Oreochromis niloticus: one gene and its partners. The protein of the gene in region 2 interacts with the protein of the main gene of each other region in a pairwise test. Links are inferred from orthologs where the notes say so. Each region holds a gene or a part of one and is shown on either strand. Other genes may lie near its edges. The genes, in order: clic1, lsm1 and psmb8a.

Region 1 (6,972 bases), on a different chromosome or scaffold from region 2:
ACAGCAATAAAGCTGTCTCGTTGAGTTTATGTTCAATCTCCAGAGTCCTACATTTGTGTTCACTCCCAGGCTCCCACACAGCCAGCCTGTGATACTTGGTTTCAGCCAGCCTCAGTAACATAGCAGAGACGAAGCTGAAAACACGTTAAAACCATCACAGATGGCGTCCATGTGGCATGTTTTGAATATGCAATAAGCTTTGAATATGGATAGAAATCAATTAAAATTAGTGCATAAAAGAAGTAAAGACCAAATAAAAGAAGAAATAGTAAATTATGTCAGCATGTGCACATCGAAAAATTTAAAGGATTAAAGTTGAGAATAGTTGCTTTTAAGCAACACAAAGACTTTGAGGCAGCACGGTGCTGCAGTGGTCAGTTACATCGCAGTAAAAGGGATGTTGTCTCCATGCCTGCATCGGCTCTCTGTGGGACATTTATCCTTTAGAAAACTTACAAATCAGTCCAAAAACAAAAATCATCAGAATGCAGGAAATGTAACATCTTATACTCAAAATTTCAGGAGACAGGACCTCCAGATTTTCGGCGGATTGTGAGTAAACACTTTAACCTGCAGGGGGCAGCATTTTACCAATGGCTGGTAAAACTTGTCAGAACTAAATGAAGCAAATAATTTTTTTTTAATTGTGACAAGAAACCTTTTTTAAAAACCAAGACAACAAAAATCTGTGAAATGTGAAATGTTTGGACTGTGATCCTGAATGTGTTAATTTGAAAGGAGATTTAATATTTACAGCAAATCGAGTGTTTTCTGTAAGTTATCTTTTCAGTTTGGCCCCCAAGGTCCTAATTTTACATACATATTTACATGTTATTGTTGTTTTCAGAAATAGCAGGAAAATCCAAAAACTTCTGTAAACTAAGATAAAACAAACAGGATGACCAGATCTCCAAAACTAATAGGTTTGTAGACCTTACTAATGCCTTTTGTGTTTAATGTTAGAAAGAAGCTCACGTTTTTTCCAGAAAACACCCAAAAGAGCCTGCAAGGTTCTGAAAAAATAATTTTTGAGACAGATGAAACCAAAACGAAGTGTACGATGGGAAGAGAAAAGCATGGAGACGGAGAGAAACGGCTCATGATCTGAAGCATATCGGGTAATCTGTCAAACGTGGTGGAGGTATTATTATGTCATGGGCAATGTTCCCTCAAATATTTCATGTGTCTGAGCGAACACACAAACTCCCTGAGCGGTCCCTTGGACCACTGTGAGCGACATCAGACGTGAGCACTGTGGTCATGCCAGCATCTAATCCATCCAAGTTACATGGTTTATTAAAATAATCAAATTACAGCATTTACATTTCTGTTAGACTACTTTTAATTAACTGCTTTAGCCCACTTACAATGAAAATTTAAAAAATCCTGTTCATGACCTGTGTAGTATGTTAACACTATTGGAAGTAAAAATAACTTGAACTCCAATTTCGAAAACACAACTTTCTTTCTTTTTTTCTTTTTTTTTCATAAAGCTCTGACTTGTATTATGAGTCTGTGGTCTGGGAGAGAGTCCTATAACTCTCTGTCTGCCAAATACAGTATATAATGACCAATGTTGGGCAATTAATTATATAGTTACTACTTCAAAAAAGTAACTCAGTTTGGCAAACAACAAAGTTTTTTGCAGCTATTTTTTTTTTTTAATGCAGCCAAGGCGTTTTTAAATAAACATTTCAAACTATTTACAGAACAATCAGCTGTTCTGCATCAAATCTGATGCCACACAAATTATTTGTGCCACTCCAAAAATAATTTCTGTCCACTATGAGATAAAGGAGAACAACAGCCTGATACCTGCAGGCCTGACAGCAGGAGATGTATCACTCCTGTAACACCTGTAACATTCAGCAGCCGCCTCATTGTTCTGACACACACAACAAAACTACTGACTACACACTAACTACACAAGATTTGCGCTAAATGTCTCAAATCTCTCACATCTCAGAACACCGCCGTCACTCCTAAAACTTCCCCCCGTTTCTTAACAACTAGATGCCACGTTGCCATATCATTTTTTGATTGGTCGACACGGTACTTTTTTCGACCAATAGGAAAGGGTGGGTTTTTTTGGTTTTGTCTTTGCTCACAGGCGGAGAGTGCTTTCGAGCGTTTTCCTTATAACACGCCGTTTTTACCGTTTCTTCCCGCAGTAAATATAAACAACGATAGTATTCAGGAAGAAAACCAAACATTGCAGATATTTTTATCATAACTCTGGTTTTACGTGGCCTATCAACACAATTTAAAAACTGGTATAAAGTCCACACTTTTCCCGTCAATTGTTCCGTCTGTCCTGCTCACATCTCCAATGGTTGTACACGTTGTCATTAATGTGGCTTCACTCCACATCAGCCACGCCGCTTTGCCAGCTAAAACACCGGTGTCGGCACATAAGGACGCTGTCATAGCCTGTCAACAACGTTGATTGGCTGCGTATATACGAATGTGAATCGCATTATTGGCTGGACTATAGGATAAGGTGGCATCGTTCTAATCCCATACAGGAGCAGCCAGTCACTTACTGACTAACACTGCAAAACAGAATTGTTAAAGTTTTAATTTTAATTTCAATTCAGGTTAGATTTTTTTTGTGCGCAACGCAGATTTTCTGTGTGCAGAGACCGTGCCAGCAGTGCGCAACTGCGCACGTGCGCAGTTTAGAGGGAACATTGGTCATGGGCACGCATGGCTGCCAGTAGAACCGGATCACTCGCGTTTATTGGTGATGTGACTACTGATAGAAGGAACGGGATGGGCTATATTCTCTGCTCAGATTGAGCCAAGTGCTGAAAAACAGGTCAGACAGCGCTTCACAGTGAAAATTGTTGATGAGCCAAAGCAAACTACTAAAGAAACCAAGGACATTTTCAAGGCAGAGAACTGGGATATTTTTGCAATGGCCAACTCAGTCACGTGATATCAGCTACACGAAGCATGCTTTCCAGTTTTTGAAGACAGAAACAACATGCAGCAACTGGAGGTGGGTGCAGTAAAGGCCTGAAGAAACAGGCGTCACTAACTGTAAAGGGTTTTCATTCACATTTTACAAACAGTTCATATTAGATCGTTCAATAATGTATGAGCCTCTTAAAATCAGGGACTGAGCATCAACTAACCACTTTTGTTTACACCAGGGGTGTCGAAACATAAGGCCGCGGGTCTATGTCAAACATTTGTCAAATGTATCCTTCGTGAATGATATCAAGTCATCTTGAACCACAAACAACATTCCTGTAACAAAGTAGAAGCCGCAATCAGTTTTTGGCAGGGACCCTTATATATCCTTTATTTAAAGTGTAATCTGGCCGAGAGGACAGCAGAAATTGCAACAAATGTTGACCGGATTGGTTATAATGTAAGTACAATAACACAGAGTTATAAAGATACTTGAAAACAGGCCATTTTTAAATTTGACGTATAACCCCCTTGTAAACCCTTTTCACCGAAGTCTATTTACCAACATACATAAAGATGTTACACATAAAAACACACGCAAACATTGGAAATCCGTTTTTGGCAGGTGATCGCGAGGAAGGCTGGAAAATGTGAAAGAGGGGATAAACTTTTGGACTTTTAACTGTATTTTCGTAAGTTTAACAGCTTTTCTTAATGATAAAGTCTGCATTTTAATCAGATGTTTAATGTTTGATGTAAAAATCCACTGTGGTTGTGCACAGAGGCAAAACTACAAAAACTACAACCCTAACTGTATATGGGACAGTCAGACACATCAGCCACCGCCCCATAACCAGTGAATAAGTGCCTTTAACGCGTCTCCCCAAAGCTGCCAAGTGCTCTTCTCATGGTGGCTGTTACGTAACATCCCGCCTGCTCCCAGCTCTCCTCTCCGCGGTGACTTTTCTGTGTTTTTATTTGCTGCTTTGAAATAAACGATCTTTAACGTGAGTAAACAGACCGCTCCTTCATACTGCGGCCGCTTTTATTCGCTGAGAGCTCAGCCCGTCATGCACCACCAGGAAATGGAGGAGGATGATGATGATGATGATTGTGTCGCTGCAGCCAGCAGACGCGGGCACACACACGCATTCAGCAGCAGAACTGGGAGGAGAAACCAGCAACAGGCAACGAGAACTTCGAGCACTGTGAGGTTAGAAGCTCTACTGACTCTAAATTATGTGAATTTTGAGCTTTAGGGGTGCACGACATGTAGGGCTTTGCTTTGTGACGCCCGTGGAGCGGCTACATTGTCGCGTTTGTCACTTTAGTCACCGGTATTGTGTAGCGGAAGATGGGCTGGGCTCCCCGCGTTTGCGGTTGTTTCTGGCTCAGAAAAGGCGACTTTGCGCTCGATCGGGCTTCGTGTTAGAAACTTTTTAACGCCCGTCTCTCTCTCTTTATAGGTTTCGTGCAGCTACGGGTGAAGATGAGCGACGCCGGTCAGCCCAAACTTGAACTTTTCGTGAAGGTAAGAGAGTGAATGGGCGCAGAGAAGGAAAGCATCACACCCAAAGAGTGACGCGCACACGGGCGACATTATGTGCCCTGAGTTTATTCAGCGGGCTGAGCCGGTCTGCTCGGGCTTCTTTTATCTTATTGTTTCATCAGCACGCTCGGCGTGTTTTCTATTACATGCTGATAAACTGTCTCTGACACCTGCACGGTCCTTACAGCTGACTTTAAGCCACCTTTGTTTTATCTTTTATTTTCACGCAGTATTTGTTGTAATAGTGACGTCAATCAGACCCCCCTCTGCTGACTCACCGGGCTTATAAACTACTGTAAGGCTAATCTAATTAAACGCACATTAAGATAACAGCCAGCCGACTTTAATCTATATTTAGTATGTTGGCCAGGCAGGCTAATCCCATTTTCTTTGAGCCAAAAACAGGCAGTAACATACTAACCAGTGTGGCTCACTTCACACATAAAGATTTCTCTGTGTGAACATGTGCTTCCCACCCCCACCTTCTTCAGGGTGAAAGATGCTGTTGTAACTTCTCTAAATTGACCTCTTAAATGTAGTTTCTCATGAGCTGTGGTTAACAACACTAGGCGGTTGCCTGATGAGGCCACGTTTCAGATCCTAAAGATCAAAACTAGCATGCCCTAAGGCACTGTGTAGGGCTGGGTGCTGCAAGCCCTACAGCAGTAAAGAAGTTAGGGGTGGGTGGGTCAGTCCACGTTTACATTCCAGACACCCCCCCCCCCAAAAAAAAGAGTTTCAAAATACATGAAAACCGAAAGGTGTGTGTTGTTGCTCTAAAAAATTTATTTTGTTCAGAATGCCTTGCTTTCCCCTAGTATCAGTACTAGTATTGGCAATATTTGCCCAATATTTACTTAAGTATCGATACCACAGTTTGCTGTATGGCTCTGAAGTAAGAGAAGTAACATATGCTGCATCTCAGGCTTCAGGTAGTTTCATTTTGGGGATTGTTTTTGGAGCTGATTCATGATCGGGTCTGCAAACTGTGTTAAAGTGTTTAAAACAGCCTTGTGCAGATTAAATAATCATAGTTGATTTAATTCATGCAATAATTATATTCCAATTTATCTGATAGTGGGAAAATTACTGCTGTAAAGACAGATCAGACAAGCAGATAAACTGTGTAAATTTGCGATTTAAATGGCACAAATTAGGACTTTATTTCCATCATACCAAAAAAACCTCTAATTTCTTCTTTTTTTTAACAGCAGCTATTCCATGCTGCTCAAACGTCTTCACTTTCAGTTGTCGATTTGAGCTCTTCGAGGATTTGTGATGTGTGGTGATGTATATTTCTCTTTGTTTTGACTCAGACATCCTGCGTGCTGACTTTGCAGGTTGGTTTAAGGGTGAAAAACTAAGGTGCACGTTTCTGCATCAGCAGTATGCATACTGTAACCAAATGTGCAACAAATATTTTAAGGCTTTTCTTTGCATTTTTGGATCGCTGACCTGAAGAAACACGGCAGATTTTCCAGTATTTTATGGAGGAAAGTCTTAGAAAAATAGATGGAAACATTACTGTAATATTAACCGGCGGCTTTATTATGTGTTTTTGTTTCCCAGGCAGGAAGCGATGGTCAGAGCATCGGCAACTGTCCTTTCTCTCAGCGTCTCTTCATGGTGCTGTGGCTGAAGGGAGTCACCTTTGACGTTACCACGGTGGATATGAAGAGGTGAAAGCACTCGTCCTTCACGCTCTGTATGGCCACTTTTGTTTGTTCTGTCTCTCTCACTAATGCTGGCGCAACAAGAGAACATTCGCCTACACTTTTAATGTTTTAATGCCCCCAAGTGAAGCTGGCACTGAAAAAGCCTGGGGTATTGCATTCATTCATTAAAAGATAAAAAGCTCCCACGCTTTGATTTTCGGTGAAAGTTGGACACATTGTAGCTGCTCACATGGGTAATTTCCTGCGGTTGGAAATCTTTCCACTCCTGTTTTCCTTTTTTTTTCTCTTTCTCTGTTTCTGACTCGCTCCATCTGTCTTCTGGACTTTTTCCGTCCCGCTTTCAGGAAGCCAGACATCTTGAAGGACCTGGCACCGGGTGCTCAGCCTCCCTTCCTGTTGTACGGCAGCGAGGTGAAAACCGACACCAACAAGATTGAGGAGTTCCTGGAAGAGCATCTCTGCCCTCCAAAGTAATATTTTCCTTCATCTCTGAAGTGCTGATACAGATAACACAAACTGTCTTGTTTGATCTGATAATGATCTGAATATCGCAACTTTGTTGGGCACAAAGAGATACAGTACTTAAAGGATGTCTCTGGAGGCTTTGAGCACAGATTGTTTAGAATTTTGCAGGAATAAGGCAACATTTTGTAGACAAGACAAAAAAAGTAGGCCCTGCACGCCAACTCCAAAACACAAGATTTAAATCTGAATCTTCGTGAGATTAAACTATCTAATTCTACATTTTTGCAGGTGTTTCCGTTGTAGACCCAGCGATGAATAGATTAATCATAACAAAATAAACAGTTGGCTGCAAATGCATTTGTTGAC
Region 2 (7,123 bases):
AAATCTGTTTGATATAAACATAGATTTTTGTCCTCAATATCAAAAGGACAGAAAGAAAAACATTTAATCCAACCTTGTCCTTCAGCGTAAAACATGACTGAAAATGTTCAAGTAGAGATTTCAGTTTTATATATATTTGAATGTTCAAAGATGGAGAAAAAGAACAGCTTGTCCAGTCATACTTAATCAAGTCTTTATCAGTGAGTGAAGTGAAACACATGGCATTCATATGTAGGTCTGATTCTAGGTCTTCATCAAAAAAGATGAAATAATTGGGAACAGCAATCTTCTGGGGGATTTTCACTAATCTGCTACACTCGAGGCCCAGTTCTGAGCTCTGAGATATCATGACTGTATCAAGTGCCTATCTGACATTACAGTGCATGCAGGGCTTAAACTGAGTGAGAAAAAAAAAAAAGAAGAAAAAAAGAAATCACTGCACCTACAGAGGCGGAGGCATGGAGAGGCAAGTGGCTATGGACAACTGAATGCATTTACTCTATTAGGTGAAAGCACAATTTCCTGATCATGCAAAGGGACTCTGAGATGAAACGACAGACAGCTAAAGAAGTGCAAGAGCTGATACACGTTGGATCAGACTGAAACTGACCCACATTCCTGAGGGACAGTGTGATGATAATCTGCGTCATGAGTCAGAGACAACAGAGAGCTGCAATGTGACACTACACAAGTTCATCTTCCGGTGACTCGCTCCTGCTTTTGCAGCTGATAGAGTCACTCACTGAGGCTGACGCCAGCAACCATGAGCTTTCACGTCTAATACCACCATACCTTTTATACCAGCATTATTAAGCTTCAAAGTTGGATTCCACGTGCCAGTAACTGCTGTGTCTTTTTCTTTGGTCCATGCCACCTTTTCCAGGTATTTTATAGTAACATGGTGGTGGAGGGAAAAAAAAAAATTAAAAAAAAATCCCTACAACACTGGTCAGCAAAAGAAGACAAGAACCTGAACATGTCCATGGAAGATCAGGAAGATGAAATCAAAGTGACCCACAAGCAAAACAAGTCCAGCTCAGAAAGCTTTCTTTTCCAGCTGGTCCAGAATGGCCTGGATTCTCTGTACAGCCTCCTTTCGGGCTTGCCGGACATTCTCCTGTCCCTGAGTCTCCACAGAGTCTAGCACCAGCAGCTCTTTGGTAAGCAGTTCCTCCAGACAACGATAACTCTTGTCTGTTTTTTTGCCAACAAACTCATCAACGTCTTCCTGAAGCAGCAGTACTCTGGACATGACCTGCTGGACCTTAGCCAGACTGGGGTTATCGCTCAGTTGCGGAGGTCCAGCCTGATTTGGAGTTGATGCTGGAACCGAAGGCGGGGCCTCAGCTTGCGAAGCATTAGGATCACCTCTCCCAGTTTTATACATTTGTGGAGGAGAACTTATTTCAGTAGGATTACCACTGGGGGGATTCGGGGATGGTGCTGGCTTCGGTTTAGGTCCCACCGGTGGGGCACGTTGGTGCTGTTGGTCCTACATTAACACAAGAGTTTGAAAAAGACTGCGTTTAAAATGTTTGATAATATAAGGATAGAGGCTGTAAACTGACTCAAATAAATATACCTTAGCAAAATTTGGTATTTATTTTTTAGAAAATCTAATCCCTCCAAAAACAGATGCTATCCACCCAGAACAGATGTGTGATTACAGAGAACAAAGTGTAAAGGCAGTTCATCATGACAGTTGTAATACATTGTGTGCACATCTGTGTTTCACAAAAATAAAATAAAAAAAATCTCTTAAGATTCTTACCTTGGGCTGGTAAGGTGGAGGAGCACCTGTTCCAGTTCCTGGCCACGCTGGAGGATGTGGTGGACGGACTGGATTCCCATAATGGTTTTGTGGAGGCTGTTGTCCCGGCGGCCATGGCTGCTGTGAGGGTACATATGGACCAGAATGTGCCCATGCGTCAGGCTGCTGGCTGGGATGAAGTGACTGGCCAGTTGGGTATGGGGGATTTGGAGGCAATGCATGGCCACTCTCGCTGTAGTGAGGGTACGATCCAGGATATCCAGGACCCTGAGAGCAGAAATAAGACAAATGTCTCACATTCAGAAAAAGTTTCTTTTGCGTTTGAAAATGACATCTATTTTTAGATAAAAAAAATAATAATAAAATTACACTGTATAATATACCTCATTTGTAAGACTTTATTTAAACTACTGTTATATTTGAAAACTGTGTGCGCTTAAATGCACCAACCCCTTGGCAGTGTGGCCCAGCATAGTGATGATGTTGGTGTTGAGAGTGAGGTTGTCCAGAAGACCCACTGCTTTGCTCTGCGTGGCAGCCTTGGTTAGGATAAGAACCCGGAGCCGGTCTTTGAGGGTCAGCACAGTAGAAAGGGTTGGATGGGTGGAAACCACTTGTTGAATACTGACTCTGTGCTGGACTGTAGACTCCATGGCCGTTTGGATAACCAGCAGGCATTACCTATGTGAAAGACACAAGAAGGGGACCTAGTTATTTAAAATAACAAGTATAAATCCATCAGAGATACAACAACTTTGACATGATAGATGTTAATATGAAAATGTAAATTAAAGACATTTAAGCATAAATCCACTAACCCAACCTTAGAGTCAGAGGGACTGGTTATGCTGCATCTGTATATCTATACCTGTGGATTGTACTGTGGCTGAACATCTGATCCGGAGGGATAGGTATTTGCATAGTGCCCTGTGGAATGAGACTGGGGATACCAGTATTGTGGAGGATAGCCTGGATACTGAGGAGCATCCTGCAAATACAGTTACAAAGCATGGTTGGCACCAGAGTACTAACAAGTAGACATTGGTATGACACATTAAACTTTGAAACTACGCCTTCAACGTCACTACCCATCCCAGAACAAACAATAACTGTGCAAACAGGGACATTGATTCATCTGCCTGCGGAACCAGTTATGCAAAATCCTTAAGTAGAGTAAAACTGACCGGAGAAAAAAAAAAGGGCCCAACATGTCACAAGAAAGACACGAAATACTCACTCATTCTTTCAAACACGTGGAGTCTTATTAACAGTGGAGTCGCGTCAAGATGAACGTAAAAGTCCCGGAAAACAGCTGAACTCTGTCCTTAGCCGTTACTATTACATAATGCTAGTTAGCTCAGTTAGCCGCGCAGCTAGCATAGGCAGAGCTTTGTGCGAGCTGGCTGAAAATGATCTCCACCACAAATTCACGCTATTCTTTAAGGTTTAAAGACACTAAAAGAGAGTGTGAATACCACGAGAATATGTCTGAGCTGTGTCCACTTACTTACCATACTGTTATTCCAGTTCCCGTGATTATTTCCCGAGTTGCAAGTCGAGGGCCAGCCGGGTTTCAGATTGGACTGCATTTGATAATGATGATGCTTGGACTAAGCGCTCTTACCGGCAGCCGCCCTGTCATCTGTCATTGTGGGGGGGAAAAACAAATCTGCAGCGAGCCTCGCGTTACTTATCGGATGTGTCAGGTCGTCTGAAACGCCAGCAGCAATGTTGTCGTTTTCCTATACAAGTGCGGACCCTTTGGTTAAGTCGGGAAACGACTGAATGACGTGAGCGCCCCCGTGCTGCGCCTTTAATAGCGAGCGCTGCTAAACCTACAGAGGTCTCACTCCGCCAGATTTTTTCTGGCACAACCAACGTTTGGACGGAGAAAGTAACGCCATGGTCTACCCTCATTTCACTAGCTATAAATTTATGATATGATTTTAAGACGTTAAACGTCTATTTTCTGGGTGTATTTCAACAAAATTATACATTTATTTACATAATGTAGGGCGTTTTGAATTGTTCAGGCTCGGTGACCATTGTTGTGTATATACGATCTTTGCCGACGCATGCGCGCCAGTAGACGTTATTAGCCAATGGGGGAAAAGGTCATAAAAATAACATTTTAAAAACATTAACTGCTATTTTAATCTTCAAAACCCACCGATGCCTGAAGTTCTATTTATTTAAAGATGTATTTTTTAAAGGGCCGGCCCTGCGTGTTAGAAATGTAGTGAATCGACAGCGCACAAAGGGTTAAATGCTTACAGGAAGTTCATCCCTGGCGTGTATAAAGACGCTTCCTGTGCTAATTTTGTGAGAAACATGTATTGAAACATTAATGGCTTGACGGTATATACAGATACAAGACTCAAATAAGCAGCAGCACAAGATGAACTACGTACCAGGGACGGCAAGCCTCATTGACGACATCGATAGTAAGTTGGAGGAGTGATTTGATGGAGCTGATTTGGTTTAAAAAGAAATAATCGTTTCAAGATGTGCAGCATCGTGTCCGACGCAATCTGGATCATCTGCAGCGGGTTTAAATTGTCATATAACTTGCTCCTCTTGTTTGTATCCCGCAGAGAAGCACCTGGTGCTGCTCCGAGATGGAAGAACATTGATTGGTTACCTGAGAAGCATTGATCAGTTTGGTATAACTCTTTTAATTATATCCACCTTTAGTATTGTTTTTCTGAGTCGGGTCACTGCACTGGTTACAGCAGGCTCAGTTTATCTGTCATTATGATTCCCATGATCGTGTCTCTTGTTTTCAGCTCTCTATTTACACCGGTTCTTTTGTCCTCCAGCCAATTTAGTTTTTCACCAGACAGTTGAGCGCATCCACGTGGGAAAAAAGTTTGGTGACATCCCCAGAGGAATATTCATCGTGAGAGGAGAAAATGTGGTGCTGCTTGGAGAGATAGTAAGTAGACATAATCTCGTTTTCACTTTGGTTTTTGAAATGGTCAGAAGGATCAGTAGACATGGTTAAATTTCCTTATGTCCTTCACACACTGCATTGATACAGTTGTGAGAGTAGGGGTTCACTTAAATGGTGGCTAAGGGTCCTCGGGCTGGAGCCTATCCCAGTTGACACAGAGTGAGATCTGGCCTTTCTCACAGAGAGACGCACAGCCATTCGTGGGCCAATTTAGAATCACCGATTAACCTAACATGCTTATCTTTGGACTGTGGGAGGAAGCCGGAGTACCTGGTGAGAACCCTCACCAGTCTTTCTGGTGCAAACAGATGCCAGAAAGACTGGCAGGCTCAGGAACTACTTGCTAAGAGGCAACAGTGGAAGCTGCTGACGCATCCTTAAAATCTGACTCTCCTTAATCATGCTTGTCCGATGTACGTCAACAGCCAAGGTGACGCGTTACAGGGACACCGCCGTGACACAAGACCTTCAAGGCCAGCACACTGAGCAAAAGTGACTCATGAACTCGTCTTACTCTGTTATTCCTACCTAATGCTTGACAGCAGTACTCTGCTGTTAAAGGGATCCACATGATGCTGTAACAGTACAACATGTCATGATGTAAAACTGCTTCAGTCATAGCAGAGGCTTGACAGTACCTGTGCTCTGATCTGCTTCTCAGCGCTTTAGAAGATGTTGCTGCCTTTTGTGACATTTGCCTGATGATTAGGTTCAGTTGATTGTTAATTTATTTCTGTTCTGAAATGCTGATGGAAATGGAACGGCAGTGATTAACTTCTTGGTGTCTTTTGGTGAGCTTGCATCTGGCAAACGATGAGAGTAAGCTGACATCAAATCCTGTGTCATATCAGAAATGATAATGAAGCACAAAAAGGCACATAGTCTCAGCATACAACATCTTCTGCACACATTCATTTATGTATAGTTTTGAGAAAATGTTTGTCAAGCATGAATGAACAGCATTTTGTAATTCTGCTTATAATGAGAAAGCAGTTTGTGATTGATGGTTGGCATGAACCATGCAGTCTTCTTGAAGATTTGCAGATGTTTCATGCCTTTAGTTCTAGGAAGTGGCAGGTGTGCAGCCTGTCCTCAACTGGAAAAAGGAAGTAGCTTTTGGAGAAATCATTAGCACAGAGGTTCACTTTATTCTTCCGCATTATTTGTTTGATAAAGACACACTTGTTTGCTTCATTAGTGTAATCAGATTGTTTGCCTATAATCAAAATTTTGATCAGGTATTTTATTAGTAATAATTCAAAGTTACAGAACGCCCAGTAATTCCAATTAAAATGTGTTCAGTAGTATTATCTGAGTGTTTCAGGCCTGTGCAAGATGTGATACGGTCTCTTGTCTTTGCAGGACATGGATAAGCCCTGTGACACGGTGCTGCAGCAAGTCTCCATTGAAGAGATCTTAGAGGAGCAGCGGCTGCAGCAGCAAGCCAAACAGGAGACCGAGAAAGTCAAAATGCAGGTCCTGAAGGACCGAGGCCTGTCCATACCCAAAGCTGACAACCTAGACGAATACTAACGCAACCTAGTTGCCGTGGGCCTCTTTCTCAGTTGGCATTGGACTGACGAGTTTTAAGTTGAACCTGAGAGTGCATGGCAGCCTGACTTTTTGTTTTTAAGTGAGCAGAACACACCATTATCCTGAGTCAATCTACTGTGATGTACTGTATCGATTTAATTTGAGTTTTGTAAGGGGGGGGTGTCATGTCAAGAAAGTTTAAAAAAATATTTTTTTTTTCTGAAATCACTATGTTGACAATTAAGAATCAATAGCACTTTGTATTCTTTCATCATGTGGTGAATGTTTAAATAATGTGGAACTGCTATTGAGGGGGGCGGGGAGACTACATGCTTTGGCCCATTAAAGAGTTTAATTTTTCATCATGGAAGGTCTACTTGGGTGGGGTGGGAGGGGTGTCATGCCTTAAAGGGATGTGAAGCTCGTCACTTTAGGTCAATCAGGGCCCAGTGCCCTCTTTTAGGATGGCGCCACAGACACCACCATGCAGATCACGTTAGCCGCTGTAATGTGACATCAAACCGGACACTTGTGCATTTGTTATGTGAGGAAATGCCATAATTCATTGTGGTAATTGCACTTAAGCAGGCGGCATATCGGTGCATCAGGCTGCCCCACGTCCTGTTTATATAAATGAGAGCCCGTCCGCACTCTGAGAAATCGATCCTATCTGCCTTCAGCGGTCAATAATAAGCTTGTTAATCGTTTTGACAGATCCATCGTGGCTTCTGTGAAACGGGGCAGCCGCGAGATTGTACTCGCTCCTAAATGAGTTATCTTCGTGCCACATGATTAAGCACTTCCGGTGGCAGTTTAATGTATTTTTCTCCCTTTCGTTTTATTTTATACTATGAACCCGGAGCCTG
Region 3 (7,890 bases), on a different chromosome or scaffold from region 2:
CTCCAACAAACCTTTCCTCAGTAAGATGTTCAGCACTGATTTACAACCAACCTAAGTAGGCATGTACTATGAATGTCAATGCTATTTTCTGTGTTTCAATAGCTCCCTGTACAGCAGCTGTACAAGACCTGTTTGATCAAGAAAATAAAAAAATGCTTTTTGGAAATGGAACACTTCAAGCAGCAGAATGGAATGTGAGTGCCATCTATACAGCCAATCACGCCTGGGAACCCTGAAAATAAATGTAAAATCTAAGTAGTAGTTCAAGTATCACCACATCATGAATTAAGTTTTGTTCATCCTGATACCTGCAATTTTGTGGAATCCCTCTTTGATAAATCTTGTGGGTCTATGACCGGGGAACACCACAAACGAGTACAGGAGATGTTTCAGTGCAACTGTAACATTCCTGACTGCCCGACAGACGGTAGCCTTGGAAACGTGCTCAGCGTCACCAATATTATACAGAAAGCTCCCGTTTGCAAAAAAAACGAAGTGCAATACAAATAATATGTACAGAACTGAGAGAATGTCCGCGATGTGTCACATGAGCAATATAAGGCCTGAGGATGTTATTCAAATAAATTATCGATTGTGCTGAAAAACGGTAACGTTCACACAGAAAATCATCAGGAAATGATAAAATGTCCAAACGCGCTCTAATCACTCTCTCCCGGCGGAGAGCTCTGCGGAGAATTTGGGCTTCAACATCTACTGGCTCTTCAAGGAAGGGGCACGCCATGTCTGACACTTCCTACAGTCAGGATTCCGACAAAGAGGCGGAGAAGGTCAGGGTTAGTTGAAGTAAACCTGCTAGGGGGCAGGTTAGCTTCACGGAGTGTGTCGTCATAGTAACTCACTCAGAATTAATCTAAACTCGCTTTGTGAAACCGAAAACCCAGAGTTTTCGTTAACTCAGGGTATACTTACTCAGAGTTTGCACTAAACCGGCTTTCTGAAACAGGGCCCTGTAAACAAAACCCTGAACCAGAACCACAGTAATATAATCTATCGTAAATAATCAAAACACCAGAGAACCCCAAAACACTCCATAATGCAAAAATAAACCCAAAACATAACTTAAAATGCTGGGTCGAACCGACCCAGAACCATAACAGGTGTGGAGCATATATTTTGTTTGTTGTGGTCAGATGAAAATAGGAGAAAAAAAACTGTATGTTTTTAGTTAAAAAACAAGGTATGTGATGACCATGTCAGTTTATTAAATCTGTATTCATTGTGTTTCAGTAAGTTATTCTCAAAGTCTTTATGTGAAGAGCCACAGAAGAACCTCTTGTTGTGAAGTCTTAATTAAGCTCTTTGCTTCACTCAAACAAAATCAGTTTTCTTACTTTCATTTCACTTTCAAAGTTTCTTCTTTATTTGTACCAAGTCATAAAACATTCAAGGAGAAACTCGATAAAATACCTTAGTGTGTTTCGTAGCATGCGGTCAGGCTACAATACACCATCAAAGCTGAGAAAAATCATGAAATAATTGGAGGCTCTAAGAGATAATATGTAGGACAGACCTGCACTCTTTGGCTAGGAGTCTCTCCCAGTACTGACAGTCTGCAGCGCTGCCTGACATGGTGCCCAGCAGGTACGGGTTGATCTCTATCACCTTGTTCACATCGTTGGATGCTGCAAAGACATGAATAAAATATATTTTACAGTACTATTCCTAAAGTCTTGAGCCACCTTATTAATGATAGTGTGTGTTTTTCTATACAGGTATGCTTTTACTGCGTTGGCAGTGTGTTTGAGATCATTGTCATACTGAACAATTAAGACTTCAGGAAACAGCTGAGGTCCAAGCGTATCTCTGCACACCATACTGAGATATGCCAAGTTTTCAGCTAAGGGCTGTTTTGGGAATCATCTTGTTGGTATAATAATAATACTTTATGTCAAACTGTGTTATTTATGGCATTTTTCATAGATTCAGCTAAAGATATGCAAACAAATTGTGTTTTGGCTGCTAGTATCAAAGTAGCTAAAGATAAAATTTAAAATTAGCTCTTTTCTAAGTTGTCAGTTATGTGTGGACAGAACACTGGTTCACCCTTAAAAGCTTTTATATGCTTGAATGATTCATAAGTCAATGTTAAGTGGCTTAGCAAGAGATTAAAGGGGCGGCTCAAGTCTTGTTTTACAGTACTGTAGGAAATGTATAAAAATTAAGAGTAACCACCTGTAGAAGCAAATCTTTACCCTCCTTCACACCTGTTGTGTAATATTTGGACATTTTACTGGAAGCTGCACCATCTTCATTGTGGCTGGACAATAACTGATTGGGCCATTATTGCCTTCGCCAAATGTAAATGCATAATGTTTCTAAATCATTTTGTGTATTATGTTTACCCAAGTAACGCCCGGCTGAAGCTCTGGAGTCCACAGCCACGATGACTCCATGCCTGAACTTGAAGGCCAGAGTGGTGGTCCCGTGGTTCATTTCAATGCACACACCTCCATCACTGTTGCAGGATTTCAGAAACCCTGAAGGCTGAAATGAAACCCAAAATAAACAGAATGGGACGCGTGATCTGTGATAGCGCATGAAAAAATAAGTATAATGTTTCTGATATTCTTACAATCACGATTGTTTATATATACGATTCAACAGGAAGTAAAATCGCTCACTGAGCACAACAGACGCGTAAAATAACTTAGGCCAGGGCGCGTCTGACGCTTACGGCAGGTTTACTGTATTCACTTTGTTAATTTAATGCCAGATTTAAAGTCACTCACCTCTACACCAGGCGGAACCGCAAATTCTTGAGTTTTGCTCCCAAAATTGTAGTGGTTGGTTCGGTCGACGAGGTGCCTCTGTTTCACTGGAAGAATCTGTCCACGGACTTCAGAAAAAGACTGAAAGTCGCTCACTTGAAGAAGTGCCATTATCTACTGAAATAGATAAACTATATTTTAAATTTATATACGTTTATGCAGAGTAGGTGTCGAGTTTTCTAAAAATGACGAAGGCGATTGACGCCAAGGGTGATTTCCTTGTATGTGACAAAGAAATAGAAAGTGAAAGGGATTTTAATGGTTCGTTTAAAATATTAAATTTTCTTTTCTTTTAAAAAAGATACAAACATTGTAAACAAAATAATACCGAGATGCAACCATTTGCAAATATGTGCTCAATCGTAACGAATTTGTTTTAAACCAAAAACTTAGTTAATCAAAATAAACTCTGTGACTGCAGAAGGCTGAAAACCGAACAGACCAATAGAAAAACGTTATTTTGTCATCATCAGTCTCTAAGCGGAAATGCAGCCCTCAGGTTCTGTCACTAACGAGCTCATCAGTTATAAAAAATATAGCTATAATTTACTGCAGTTAGATTAAAATGCAACACAGTAACCTGCTTTGTAGTTGATCCTGTTTGGATATTAACATATTCAATATCGTTAGTTTTAATTATGTTTATTTTTATTTTATTTATTTTATTTCTTTATACCGATGTTCCAGTATTGACTTTTTTATTAATTTATACCTTTGCTTTCATTTTTTCCTGTTTATTCCCTACACTAAGGCGGTTATATCTTGGTAGTTTGTGTGTCTGCAGGTCATTTTGTGTGTAAAGGCAATAGCTCGAAAAGTTTTAAATTAAGGCTGATAAAATTTTGTAGGGGTGTAGAGTGGGGTCATGTTAATAATCCATTATAGCCCCTTAAGGTCAACTTAAAGATTTATTGGTCGGAAGTTCAGTCAGAAAGTATGACTTTTACGACGGTGGTGTTTATTGTCAACATATAGAAAACACTGTATAAAGATTTAAACTATCATGCCACATTTGACCTTTGACCTCAGTAGATTGACCTGAAGGTCAAAGTGATAATGATCCTATATAGACCTATTTAAAACTGTTTCTTACTGCCATTGTTTGTACAATCTGACAACATACAGACATATGGAGATTTTAAATGTCACATTATAGTTTGTATCCACATATGATGTCACATTTCGCCTCTGATCTCACTTTTATGTTTCACATCTGCCTTTCTTTCAAGTTGCCCCCAAAATGCGTTATATCTTTAAAGAAAGTATTGTCAATAAAAGAGGATACGCTGCCTGGTTAGTTAGAAATATAGTGTAGTATAATATCATTAAGCTCAAGTCCAGTTATTTAAAAATTAAAACACATTATCCATCACCCACTCCTATACAATGTTTGTACAAAGTAAACATCTGTTACTCTTATGCAATTTTTTACTGAACTACAAACATCTTAAAAGTAACTTCAAAAAAGTGCAAAGAAAAGAAATTGAATATATACAAAATATAATACTATTCCCTTAAAAGTAAATACCACCCAGAGAGTGAGATGTTTTGGCGGAGGTTTGCTTCTTGTTTACATGCATTTTGTAACCAAGTTTTGTGAAACTTGGAAAGTAAAAGAAACTGCTTTAATTCAGTTCCTGTTGTTTTAAATATGCAATCCTACTATAATCATCCTATCGTTTGTATGTATACATGTTCCCTATCTCCTCCTAGACAAGTGGACCAATCGTATCATGTTCTCTGTCTTCTGCACATTTGTTATTATAAATAAAATAAATAATAATAAAATAAATAAAAGTGTTTCAACTGACTTGACTAAAGAGGGTAAGTAAGTACAAAACCTGTAAAGAAAAAAGGCAACAAAGGTCATGTAAATCGGGTTTTATTCAGTGTTTCAAAGATTATTCAGTATTGTAAAAATATCTCCTCTCTATGGCCAGCAGCATCCTCTATGTTTATAAAACCCACAGTATTACAGCTTGTTTATTAGACCACATCATGCTGAAGCAGCAAAAATCATAATGAAAAAAAATTTTGGAGATCTTTTTCTATTTATTTATTTTAGAAACACGATTTGAACATGATTTACTGAAAACAAAGATGGTGTGTATGTGTTGGTTGTTTGTTGTAGCTCAGGCTGTCTCCATCTTCTGCACAGTCTCCTGCACAACTTCCAGCTTTAAAGGGACAACTTTCTCTGTCAGGACTGGAGTAGTGCCTGGACGATATTTATACTTCATTTTCCTGAAATAAAGGCACATAGATAAAACATTCAAATCTGAGGATTTATAATGTGCAGTCAAGGTAGATTTGAAGAGTTAGTGGATCTTAGTCCAAAATAGCATACAAAGTGTTTTACTAAGGTTAGATAAGAGTGAATGAGGACGAAACATGAGTGAAGAACTCAAAAGTTACATGTAAACATCCATCTTTAAAAACATTCCAGAAACGTGAGACAAAATAATGTTTCATTTTTTAAGTGGAAAGCTAAAAAATTGAAAAGCTTTCTTGTTTTTCACTTCTTTGATCTACTTTTGCTGTCCATTATTTCATTCTCAGTTTTGTTTGTGTTTTCTTAAGTGATTTGTAATTATAGTTATTGTTTTAAATTAATCTGATGAGTTTCAGTTTTCCTGCTCTCCTGTGGTCCCCATGTCTGTTTAGTCTTTTGATAGGTAGCAGGAAATTTTCTTCCATTACTCCTATTTTTGCTGGCTTGCACTGGCTGCCAGTTAAATACTGTATTCAATTTAAAATACTACTTTTCACATACAAAATTATCAATAATTTGGCACCGAGCTACCTCAGTGAGCTTCTTAGCTTACACACTCCTGTCAGAGCACTTAGATCTGCTGCCCAACTTCTTCTGGAGCAACCTCGTTCTCAGCTGAAGTCTCGCGGTGACCGCGCGTTTGCTGTAGCTGCCCCAGTCTTATGGAACAACCTTCCTGTTGCTATCCGGGCGTCTGACTCTATGCCATTGTTTAAATCACGGCTGAAGACTTATTTATTTAATCTTGCTTTTCCACCTAGTTAATATTTGGTGTGCGTTGATACATTTTTATCCGTTATGCTTTGTTAACTACTTTTATGTATTATGATTGTCAAGGTTTTATAATTGATACGTGCCAGGTCCTCTCTCTTTTCCCTCCCATCTCCTTTTTCCTATTTTACTTTTTGTCAAGCACCTTGGTATACCCTTGGTTTTTTTAGTGTGCTTTATAAATAAAGTTTATTATTATTTATTATTATTATTATTATAGTCTCCATTTTCGTGTTAAATATTCCCGTGCATAGTTACTTCCTGTTTTTGTTTGATAGTCTTTTGTTTCATGTGCATTGTATTTAGTTTTGCTTCCCTTGTCTTGTTATCCCTGATTAGTTTCAGCCATGCATGCTAGTGTTGCCTAATTACCTCCGTGATTATTTAAACCTTTAGTTTGCAATAGTTTTTGTTGTGTTGTGCTGTTTATCCACCATTGTCCCTATTTGGATTTTTAGAATTTGTTTTCTGCTTCACCAGAATAAAGGTTTATTTTCTGTTTATTAAATCCATCTTTGAGTCTGCATCCACACAAACTATGACTGGTACAGGTGTACCTGTTGTCTTTGTACTGGGACTCCTGGTAGGGTCTGATGTAGTCGACTCCTTGTTTGGTGATGACACAGATGTCGATGTTGTTGCCTGAGCCGAGGTCGTTCATGATGCCTGCTTGAATAGCAGCTCGCACAAGCTCCTTTGCTGGCTCCAGCTGAGAGCGGACAGAAAGCAGAATAAAAGAGGAGCAAAAAGAGATGACATGAAGCAGCAGAACACAGAAGCATTCATCTTATACACTCTTACCTGTTTGGTAACAGAAACAACCATTTTATCAGCTGTTTGTTTAATTTAGAGAAGGTTTAGTTCCAATAGTCCTGCCACCCTCAAATTATTCAATTAAAAATGAATACTATGTGAAATAAGTTTCTATAAAGGTTTAAATAACTAAATATCACTTTACTGCAGAAAAAACAGTACCTCTAAGTCAGGTTTGAATCCATCCTCTAAAATCCCAAGAGCAGCCAGATCACCAGATCCTGCATGAACACAATGTAAAGTCAGCTAAACACAGACTGTATGTAGTCTGTGATTGAATCAAATACAGACCTACAGCACATTAAAATGTCATTTATATTTGTTAACAGAGTCATTATCTCTGATATTTTCTTGTAAACAAAAAAATGTTCTGACAGCTGAACAGCCAGGGAAAAACCATCACAGAAACACCAACCAAGAATCCAATTAAAGATCATATGCTGTTGTTATTAAAAGCAGTTATATCACATACCCATTGAGAGGTAAGGCACCTTGTCTACATCCCCGTACGGCCCCACAGTGTACAGGTGGTTTCCAGTACAATCCACTCCCCCCAGAATAAGATTAGCACCTATTTGACCTCGATACCTGAGAGACAAAACATGTTTTACTAAGACCACAGACCACATCTAACGATCCAAACATCTCTGGATACATGTACCTGTTTCTGTGAATCACTCACCTGTAAAGCATGTCCTGCAGTATGTTGACGGCCATGACAACTCGAGGGTTCCTCCCACTGTTCAGGGAAAAGATGGTGAGGTTGGAGGACAGAAGGTCTGTGGTCTTTTCTGTATCTGCTGCCGTACCTGCTCCACAACAACTAAACACAAACAAAGAGAATGTAGAGATCATGAGAAACAAAAAAAAAAAAAGATTTGATAAGCCACAGAGGGAAAAGATAAAGGAAGAGGAAAAGAGGAAAAACCTGCTTTAAGAAACACAGAAAGCCATTATTATAAATATATATATAAAAAAAATACTGGTTGTTCACCCTCAGTGGTCTCAATATCCCATTACATCATGTCATTATGTGAACAGTTCTCAAGTATGTCATCTCTTAAGTTGAAGAAAAGGAGGCAATTAGCAATTAAATATGCTACAAAAATGAGAAAAAATGCAGAATTACAGTAAACAGTGCAGATTAAAAGTTGTGAGAGTATTGAAGTATTTCTCCTCTAACAACACTTACTATATATTTGGAGCGATGTAATGGATCTTGGCACACATTTTATCAGCCACCAC

The links.
Region 1: the proteins of lsm1 (region 2) and clic1 interact in binary tests that used the Homo sapiens proteins (3 or more experiments, as listed by UniProt). The link is inferred for Oreochromis niloticus from reciprocal best matches to the Homo sapiens genes LSM1 and CLIC1.
Region 3: the proteins of lsm1 (region 2) and psmb8a interact in binary tests that used the Homo sapiens proteins (3 or more experiments, as listed by UniProt). The link is inferred for Oreochromis niloticus from reciprocal best matches to the Homo sapiens genes LSM1 and PSMB8.

What each region holds. Positions count from the first base shown.
Region 1 is NC_031985.2:15,826,551-15,833,522, forward strand, and holds the start of clic1 (chloride intracellular channel protein 1), read left to right. Parts: upstream 1-3,971; 5' UTR 3,972-4,129; intron 4,130-4,382; 5' UTR 4,383-4,405; coding exon 4,406-4,447; intron 4,448-6,034; coding exon 6,035-6,144; intron 6,145-6,485; coding exon 6,486-6,611; intron 6,612-6,972. UniProt on the Homo sapiens protein: In the soluble state, catalyzes glutaredoxin-like thiol disulfide exchange reactions with reduced glutathione as electron donor. Reduces selenite and dehydroascorbate and may act as an antioxidant during oxidative stress response.
Region 2 is NC_031977.2:12,015,421-12,022,543, reverse strand, and holds lsm1 (U6 snRNA-associated Sm-like protein LSm1), read left to right. Parts: upstream 1-4,022; 5' UTR 4,023-4,169; coding exon 4,170-4,215; intron 4,216-4,365; coding exon 4,366-4,434; intron 4,435-4,590; coding exon 4,591-4,706; intron 4,707-6,086; coding exon 6,087-6,257; 3' UTR 6,258-7,001; downstream 7,002-7,123. Other genes in the region: bag4 (BAG family molecular chaperone regulator 4), read right to left, coding at 1,037-1,492, 1,772-2,038, 2,222-2,452, 2,640-2,759, 3,283-3,360. UniProt on the Homo sapiens protein: Plays a role in the degradation of histone mRNAs, the only eukaryotic mRNAs that are not polyadenylated. Probably also part of an LSm subunits-containing complex involved in the general process of mRNA degradation.
Region 3 is NC_031985.2:8,393,868-8,401,757, reverse strand, and holds the start of psmb8a (proteasome subunit beta type-8), read right to left. Parts: upstream 3,044-7,890; 5' UTR 2,901-3,043; coding exon 2,751-2,900; intron 2,506-2,750; coding exon 2,364-2,505; intron 1,644-2,363; coding exon 1,532-1,643; intron 1-1,531. Other genes in the region: psmb13a (proteasome 20S subunit beta 13a), read right to left, coding at 4,922-5,033, 6,390-6,541, 6,808-6,866, 7,118-7,233, 7,328-7,468, 7,838-7,890. UniProt on the Homo sapiens protein: The proteasome is a multicatalytic proteinase complex which is characterized by its ability to cleave peptides with Arg, Phe, Tyr, Leu, and Glu adjacent to the leaving group at neutral or slightly basic pH.